Linked DNA regions of Callithrix jacchus. The main gene of each other region encodes a partner of the protein of the gene in region 2 in a complex. Links are inferred from orthologs where the notes say so. Each region holds a gene or a part of one and is shown on either strand. Other genes may lie near its edges.

Region 1 (4,540 bases), on a different chromosome or scaffold from region 2:
CATCTAGCTGCAGAAAAACAAGCTCAGGGCTCCTGCTGATTCTACCTGATGGTGAGTTGTATAATTATTTCATTATATGTTATAATGTAATCATAATAGAAATAATGCACAATAAACATAATGCACTTGAATCATCCCAAAACCATCCCCCGTCACCCATCTGTGGAAAAATTGTCCCTGATGCCAAAAAGATTAGAGACTGCTGAGCTAGACTTTAGCACACATCCTTCCAGCTTTCTTTGGCCCTAAATAGAGTTAGAAGTAAGAATACAGTTGAGGGTGCCCTGCGTCCACAGGGGCTTTGGATGAATTCCAAGCAGATACTGGTTGCAGGAGCAAACCCAAGGCACAAACAGAGTCACTTCAGGATCCGGATGCTCATTTTTTGCTCAACGTCCATCTTCTCTAATGACTGAGGGGGAAATGAATGGCAGGTAAGAGGCTTGACTCTCAACTCTCCATGCTCCCAACCTCCTCTCCCAGGGTTCTACTCATTCCAGAGACCCCATCGTTCCCAGGTACCCTATCTTTCCGCCCTCCTCCGTTGAACATTTCCCATGTCTGTCTGCCCCAGGGACTCCTGATCTCCACTCCCTAGTCCACAAGGGCACCCTGACCTTGGTGAACTCCAGGAAGGACACAGCCCCATCCCCATCTTCATCAGCCTCCTGTACAGTGCGGTCAGCGATGTTCTCCAGCTGCTCTTCAGTCACCTGTACCCCGACCATCAGCCGGAGAACCTGGAAGATGAGTGAAGAGGCAGCCATAAAGACGGGGCACAAAGGTTGCTACTCCCCCATCCCCTAAACCTTGTCCACCTCATCCCAGAAGTTATTACTGATTTTATAATCCATCCTTCATACATTTTTCACCATATTTCCCCAATAATTTTCCCTACTGCTTCAACAACTAATCTATCTCTCCCTCACCATCCCACACTACCCTCAAAATATGCTCAAACTCATTACCCAACTTTATCACCCAACCTCCATCCATCCTCCACACCATTCGCCACCTCAACCACTAAGGATTTGTAATTCCATCCTCATTCCATCACATCTGTTCCAGAGTTTCTCAATCTTGGCACCATTGACATTTGAAGCCAGATAGCTCCTTACTGGGGGAGGCTCTCCTGGGTATTGCATGACATATAGCCACATTCCTGATCTCTAACCACTAGATGCCAAGTAGCACATTCTCTCCCTCATTGTGACAACATAAAGCATCTCCAGATAATGCAAGATGTTTGCTCAAGAAGCAAAATCACCCCCAGTTGAGAATCACTGATCTATTCCCAACCTCATAGTCAACTGCTCCCCATCTAACTTCCAACAAACCCATACTCCAACCCCACCCATTCCCATTTCCCAACCAATACCCCAATCATCTGTGCCCCAGTTCCCCAGTCATCCCACCCCATCCCTCACACTATTGCATTCAACCATCCCCCACTTCACGCATCACATCTCTTGCCCTCGCTTTCTGCCAACCTGCAACATCTCATGCCTGGAGATCTTCCCATCGCGATCCAGGTCGTAGAGCTGAAATGCATCTGGGGAGAGGGTGGGAGGGGAAAAGGAAGGTGGGTCTTCCCTGGCTCTCTTCCAGCAGGAGGCCACCCTGGAGGAGGGGGGCAGTTGCCAGTGGGCTCAGGAAGGTAGTGGGAGATTCCTGGAGCCTGTCCCTGGTGTGAGTACATCTGCCTTCTCCCTTGGTGGGTCCTCACAAACTCACAGTGAAGTTTGTTCCTTCTGCTGTTGAGAGGTTCAGGTTTCTTGGGGTCTAGGTCTGTGTCCTCATCTTCTACAGGGCGAAAATGAGCCAGGACCCTGACAAAGCCCGGGAAATCCACTTGCTGGCTCCTGGGGAGACAGGGCGGGGAGGAGAGGCGCAGAATGGAAGGGGGTAGTGGTTACCTTGTCCATCACTCTGCCTCAAGTCTCTAACCTCCCCTCCCACCCACTCACACACCGGTTTCCCACCTCCACCTCCCCAAGTCAGCAGGCCTCACCCATTGGGAAAGAAGCTTTCTATAATGCGGTCTCCCAGGGGGTTCACAGCCAGCGCCCCTATCTGCTGGAGATCAATGCGGCTGCGAAGTCAAAGTTCAAAGAGGATAAGGCAGAGATGCCAGATGGAGGGTCAAAGAGGGACGTGGAGTCAGAGAGACAGAGGCCAGAAGTCATGCGGTGGGCTCCTCCTTACCTCAGGTAGCCCTTCTTGTTCCTATCCAGTGCCCGGAACCGGTGGTGCAGGCGGATGAGGCTGGCTTGGGAGACTGCGGGAGGCAATGGGGTGGGGGGTGACACTGCGGGGCGCGCTCCAGAAACCCGCCTCAATCGGCTGGGAAGGTGGGCCGGGGACAATGGGGGGTGGCTGGAAGGGACAATCATCCCGGAGGATGGAGCTGGCCGGGGTGGAGGGAGAATGACACGACCCCGCAAAAATCCAGGTTCGAGATTCGGGCGGCTCGCAACGTCCCGAAAACCAAAGTACAGAAGCCATCCCTTCCATCAGCCGTCAGCTCTGTCTTCAGCCTCGATCCGGGCTCGAGGACACCTGGGTGGCCTGGTTTCGTCTGGACTCCAACCCTGTGAACCTGGATCCTCCCCAGACTTGGAGACTGGGACCCCTTGGTTAACCCGCCCGGAGCCCAGAGATCCCAGGCGCTGGGGTCTTGGTCTTCCAGCTCCGGGGAACCCCGCATCCCGGACTTGTAAGTTCGTCCATCCCTCAACCCAACTCCTTCCCTGGTGACCTCTACGCGGCGTTCAAGCTCCTCGGATCCCCAGCCCCGGACGCCCGGGTTCGTCCCGTCCCCTCCGCAGCTGCCGGCGCGGGCGCACTCACAGCCGGTCTCTCGCCGAATGCTGTCCACGTCGGGAATGACCGCGGCGTGGGAGCTGCGCGAGCCCATGGCCGAGCTGGAGGCGGGAGGGCAGGAGCAGCCACCCGGACCCCACGCGTTCTCTCCTCCGGCTGGAAAGGCGTGGCCGCCCCCGTGGCCCTAGGGGATGAAGGTCACAAGCCTGGCGCGCCGCCAAGCTCTGGAACCCCGACGTGCCTCGCCTCCCACCCGCAACCCGGGCGAATGGAAAACAATGTCCAGGGTGGCGGGTCAGAGGGCGGCTGCGAACAACAGGCTGTTTCAGCTCCGAGATTTGGCGGTCGGCGCGGGAGAGGCTGGTCGACGCTGGAGCCCCTCCTTTCCACGCCTACCCCGCCCGGGGCCGGTTCCCACGGTCCGCCCGACTCTCGAGCCACCTCCTCCTTCGCGGTCCCCGGACTCTCCCAGCCCCAGAGCGCTCGCCGGCGGCGTCTACTCAGGAAGCCCTGGGAGACCAGACCTGCTGGGTAGCGACCACGCCGTGCTGGGAGGCGGGTGGCCTCCTAGGGGAAGGGAGGAGAGGCATCGAAGGACTCCCAAAAACCGGGAAGTTGAAGCGGAGAGCGGTGAGATGAAAACTGTGCGTTAGGTTAAGTGGAAAGAGCACTGGGTTGGGAGTCCTTATTGGAATCCCAGCGGTACCCCTGACTTTGGGAAAGTCAGTATATCTTAGTTTCATCCCTTTTGTTTGGTCCACATAGCCTCATTGTTGTTTAATTGAGCCAATGCTTAACATTCAGGAGATTTAACCCAAAATCCACATTCCTGGCTTTTTCTGACAAATCTCAAGTCTGACACCACCAGGCCCAGAGCTGTCCTCTGGCCACAGTCCCTCCAAGCCCAGTTCACTCCCTTAGGTACCTAGTGCCAACACAGCGCTCCAGACTGGGAATGACTTAGTCCTGTGACCAGCCCTCCAGAGCCACGGGACTCTTTGGCCCAAGAGAGAGTTACAGACATCACTGGGACTGGGCTTAAAGCAAGAATGACAACAGCAAGGGCTCTTGTTTACCACGCTTTGCTAAGCACTTTATATGCATCCGTTCACACATTCCTTGTCGGCCCTGCTGGGCTGCCTTCTTCTGACTTTATGTGGTGGAGGCTGCCAGGGGGCAGGTTGTGAACTAATTATGTAAAACATGCGTTCTCAGTGCGGTCTCTATCACACCCCACAGGGGAAAAAAATAGAACATTTTTTTAATGTAGAAAGCATAGCATACACACAGCACATAAATAGATGTACAATATAGCTGTGATATTGAAATTTCAGGCAGACATGGTGGCTCACACCTATAGTCCCAAGACTTTGGAAGGTAGGGGCAGGAAGATTGCTTGAGCCCAGGAGTTCAAGATCAGCCTAAGCAACATAGTGAGACCTCATCTCTACAAAAAAATACAAAAAAAAAAAAAATTAACCAGGTGTCATGGCACATGCCTGTGGTCCCAGCTACTTGGGTGCCTGAGATAGGAGATCTCTTGAGCAGTGAGCCGTGATGACTCCAGTCTGGGTGACAGTAGAAAGAAAATAAAAGGGGCCAGGTGTGGTGGCTCATGCCTGTAACCCCAGCACCTTAGGTGTCCAAGGTGGTGGATCTCCTGAGGTCAGGAGTTCGAGACCAGCTTTACCAACATGGTGAAACCCCGTCTACTAAA
Region 2 (3,801 bases):
AATGAGCTGGGGCTCCTTGGAGCGCTCGCCAGCTATCAGACACTTCTTCACATATTTCTTATTAAACCGGTTGAGCCTGGTGGGAGGAGGAGGGAGACGATGGACCCAGCTCCCAGGAGTGGGGAGATGCCCAGGCTGGGGAGTCCCTTGCCTGCCCCTCCCTGCCTGCCCACCAGGCCTGCTACCTACTTGTCCTTCCAGTGGTGGTGACCGTAGTGGCCACAGATGTCCTCGATGCCTGTCAGAAGGTGGTCCAGGAACTGAAAGGGGCCCAGGGCCAGGTCAAGCCTCGCTGTGGGGCGCCTTCCCAACCAAGACCTCTGACTAGTCCTGCTTCCTCCCCGAGCTGCAGCCCTGCTGGGTCCAGCCCTGTGGTTCCATGAGCAGCCAGGAGGTGGTGTCCACACCCCACTCATTGAACCCACTAGCCCTGACTCTGGGTATCTCAAACCCTCACCTGTCTCCGGCTGAGCCCCCTTCTCTAATCCCACCTGGGACCCATGCCTGGCATTGGTTTCAAATGGAAGCAGAGATGGCATGATGCCCCCCTCCTCAGGCTCCCAGCTGCTCACACCACACCTTCCTATGGCTAGACCCTGGCGGCCTCCTGAGCAGAGGGAGCCCCTGGGCACCAACACAGGGAGGAGGGGCTGATGGGGGGCAGGGACATGAGGCACAGCTGCTCCCCGCTCCTTTTCCTGCAACCGAGGACCCAGCCCGCACTCCAGTACCTGTGTGTGGATCTCCTCGTTGATGGAGCGCTTTGTCTCTTGCTTTTTCTTCACAGCTAACAGGTCTACCAGGGGTCGAATGGTCATGCCCTGTTGGGGGCAGGCAGGTGTCAGGCACTCCAGTTCTGCTACCCAAGTAGGGAGGCCGCAGAGCCTCCCTCCCGCACCCCAGGCCCCGAGGGCTAGGATGCCCTCTCTATTTTGCCCTCTCCCAGGACCCAAGGGTGTGAGAACTCCCCCACCTCCCAGCACTTATCTAGAGAACCCTGCCTTCCTGCCAGGCCCTCGTCTCTCCCAGCTCCTTGCAGGGTCCTCACCCATGCAAGGTGAGGTCCTTAAGGCCTGCCTCTTCCTGGGGACATGGCCAGAGGTTTGACCACCAAATGACCCCCACGCTGGTCATCTGGCCTGGGCCAGGTGGCAGAGAGCCTGGGTTCAGATGTGGACTGTACCATACACTTGCTCTGCAAGCCCAAGGAGGTCAGGCCCCACACAGGGAGAACCACCTCTGCACTGCCTTCCCCCAAGGACTGCTGGGAGGACCCAGTAATAACAGCAGCAGCAGCTTCAACTGCATGCTTGCCATGTGACCAACGCATGCGCTTGTAAGTCTTCTAGTATCAGCTCTCCAGTACCCACAGCACTAAGTGGGAGACCCTTCCTTGTTCCTATTTAACAGATGCAGAAACTAAGGCTCAGAGAGGTTAAGCGGCTTTCTAAGATCCCGTAGAAGCAGTACAGCCATGATTCAAACCCAGGCAGGCTGGCTCTGGAGGGAGGGCTCCTCCCCAATGCTGCCTTCAATGGGCTTGGAAAATCATTAGCATATAAAAAAATTTTTTTGAAGACGTAAGCAGGGCAAGACAACAAAAGTGGCAGCCTCCTCTCCCTTTTTTTTTTTTTTTTTTTTTTTGAGATGGAGTCTCACTCTGTCACACAGGCTGGAGGAGTACAGTGGCACAATTATGGCTCATAGTTGCCTCAACCTCTTGGGTCCAAGCTATCCTCCCACTTCAGCTTCCCAAGTAGCTGGGACTACAGGTGTGCACCACCACACCTGGCTAATTTTTTTTATTTTTTGTAGAGACAAGGTCTTGCTATGTTGCCTAGGCTGGTCTTGAACTCCTGGGCTCAAGGGATCCTCCTGCCTCATGCACCCAAAGTACTGGGATTATAGGTATGAGCCACTGCACCAGGGCACCCTCTCCTTTTAAAGGACAGAAAATAAGCCCAGCCCCAGGTTTCCCCTATCTATTTTTCTCAAGAGAAAGCAAAGATATATCCCATCTAGGGCTTTTTGAGGATTAGTGCCCAGAAAAGACAGACAGGATGGTAAAGAAATGGAGGCTCAGGCCGGGCGCGGTGGCTTACGCCCATAATCCCAGCACGTTGGGAGGCCAAGGTGAGCAGATCGCCTGAGGTCAGGAGTTCGAGACCAGCCTGGCCAACATGGTGAAACCCTATCTCTACTAAAAATATAAAAATTAGCCAGGTTGTGGTGGCACATGTCTATAATCCCAGCTATTTGGGAGGCTGAGACAGGAGAATCACTTGAACCTAGGAGGTGGAGGTTGCAGTGAGCTGAGATCATGCCACTGCACTCCAGCCTAGGTGACAGAGCAAGACTCTGGCTCAAAAAAGAAAAGAAATGGAGGCTCAGATAGAGTATTTCTCATTTGTCCAAGGTCAGACAAAGTCAGGTAAGGTGGAGTAATCTGTACCATCAGATTACTGTACAGGCTGGGCTTCCTTGGGGACCTTAGGCAGGAGAGTGCTCTTAGCTAAGCCTGGGCCATTTAAATATACAGAAATCACTGACCAGCAAACTGGAAAGAATCTTGGGAATCACCTCGCCCGGTTTCCTCACTTTACAGATGGGAACTGAGACCCAGAGAAGGGAGGGTCTTTCTTAGGGTCAAAGAGACAACACAGAACTAGGGCTGACCAGGCCTCCTGCTGCTGGCTCAGAGCCCTTTCCAGTTCCCCATGCTGTGATATTATTCCCATTTTACAGATGCAGAAACTGAGAACCTAAGATATGAAATCTCTTGCCTAAACCCATACAAAGAGTTTGTAGCAAAGAGAGATCTTGGGCCTGTTGTCTGCACCCACTTCTCTCGCTCTCTCTCTTTTTTTTGGAAGATGGAATTTCACTCTTGCTGCCCAGGCCAGAGTGCAATGGCACGATCTCAGCTCACTGCAACCTCCACCTCCCGGGTTCAAATGATTCTTCTGCCTCAGCCTCCTAAGTAGCTGGGATTACAGGCATGCATCACCACACCCAGTAATTTTGTATTTTCAGTAGAGACGCGCTTTCACTATGTTGGTCAGGCTGGTCTCAAACTCCTGACCTCAGGCATTTCACCCACCTCAGCCTCCCAAAGTGCTGGGATTAGAGGCGTGAGCCACCGCGCCTGGCCAATACCCACTTCTCTTAATGCACCATGGCTTCAAAATTATGTTGGGCAGCATTCTGGTTCCTTTACATTCTGATCAGTCACTCTGCAATGACTCATCACAATTCTCACTTTACCATTGAGGAAACTGAGGCCCAGAAAAGGGGAGTGGCTTGCCCAAGGTCACACAGCAAGTTAGTGGTAGAGCTGGGACTAGAATCACATTTGAAATCACACGCTTTCCTCTCTTTCCACGGGAGCAGCATCAGGGTCCCCAAGGCAAGGGCCTGCTCTGCTCTGTCCCAGCACCTGCACAAAGACGGTAAAGAAGATGACGGTGATGATGGCAGTGAGGAACAGGTCACACATAGGGAAGTGCTTCTTGTCCAGGAGGTAGCCCAGAGAGAAGGCGATGGCCCCTCGCAGGCCCCCATAGGCGATGATGAACTGGTCCTTGGGAGTCAGCTTCACGATGCGGAACTTGTTGATGAACCAGGTCAGGCCCAGCACGCCTGCAGGGGAGGGCAGCGGGGGTAAGGGTCAGGTCCAACTGTGCCCAGCCGCTCCTGGCTTCTGCACCAGTGATTTCTCTGCATTCAGGAAGTCTCCACTACTAAGCCCACCCTGCTCACTCAATTCCTGGGCCCCTCAGCCCAGAGTGCCCTGAACTCCTC

What was found.
Region 1: the proteins of SLC9A1 (region 2) and CHP2 are in contact, whole or in part, in a crystal structure (PDB 2BEC), measured with the Homo sapiens proteins. The link is inferred for Callithrix jacchus from reciprocal best matches to the Homo sapiens genes SLC9A1 and CHP2. Residues at the interface, in NP_003038.2 of Homo sapiens: Ser517, Ile518, Asn519, Glu520, Ile522, His523, Thr524, Gln525, Phe526, Leu527, Asp528, His529, Leu530, Leu531, Thr532, Gly533, Ile534, Glu535, Asp536, Ile537, Cys538, Gly539, His540; in NP_071380.1 of Homo sapiens: Arg30, Arg34, Leu38, Leu51, Ile54, Ala56, Leu57, Asn60, Pro61, Leu62, Ile66, Phe70, Phe83, Leu87, Phe90, Tyr118, Ala119, Leu122, Tyr123, Met136, Val139, Leu140, Met143, Ile156, Arg159, Thr160, Glu163, Ala164, Phe177, Ser180.

The regions. Positions count from the first base shown.
Region 1 is NC_133513.1:24,356,586-24,361,125, reverse strand, and holds the start of CHP2 (calcineurin B homologous protein 2), read right to left. Parts: upstream 2,990-4,540; 5' UTR 2,918-2,989; coding exon 2,851-2,917; intron 2,279-2,850; coding exon 2,206-2,278; intron 2,093-2,205; coding exon 2,012-2,092; intron 1,863-2,011; coding exon 1,735-1,862; intron 1,553-1,734; coding exon 1,491-1,552; intron 741-1,490; coding exon 618-740; intron 413-617; coding exon 359-412; 3' UTR 1-358. UniProt on the Homo sapiens protein: Functions as an integral cofactor in cell pH regulation by controlling plasma membrane-type Na(+)/H(+) exchange activity.
Region 2 is NC_133508.1:63,755,774-63,759,574, forward strand, and holds part of SLC9A1 (sodium/hydrogen exchanger 1), read right to left. Parts: intron 3,640-3,801; coding exon 3,437-3,639; intron 822-3,436; coding exon 732-821; intron 261-731; coding exon 190-260; intron 77-189; coding exon 1-76. UniProt on the Homo sapiens protein: Electroneutral Na(+) /H(+) antiporter that extrudes Na(+) in exchange for external protons driven by the inward sodium ion chemical gradient, protecting cells from acidification that occurs from metabolism.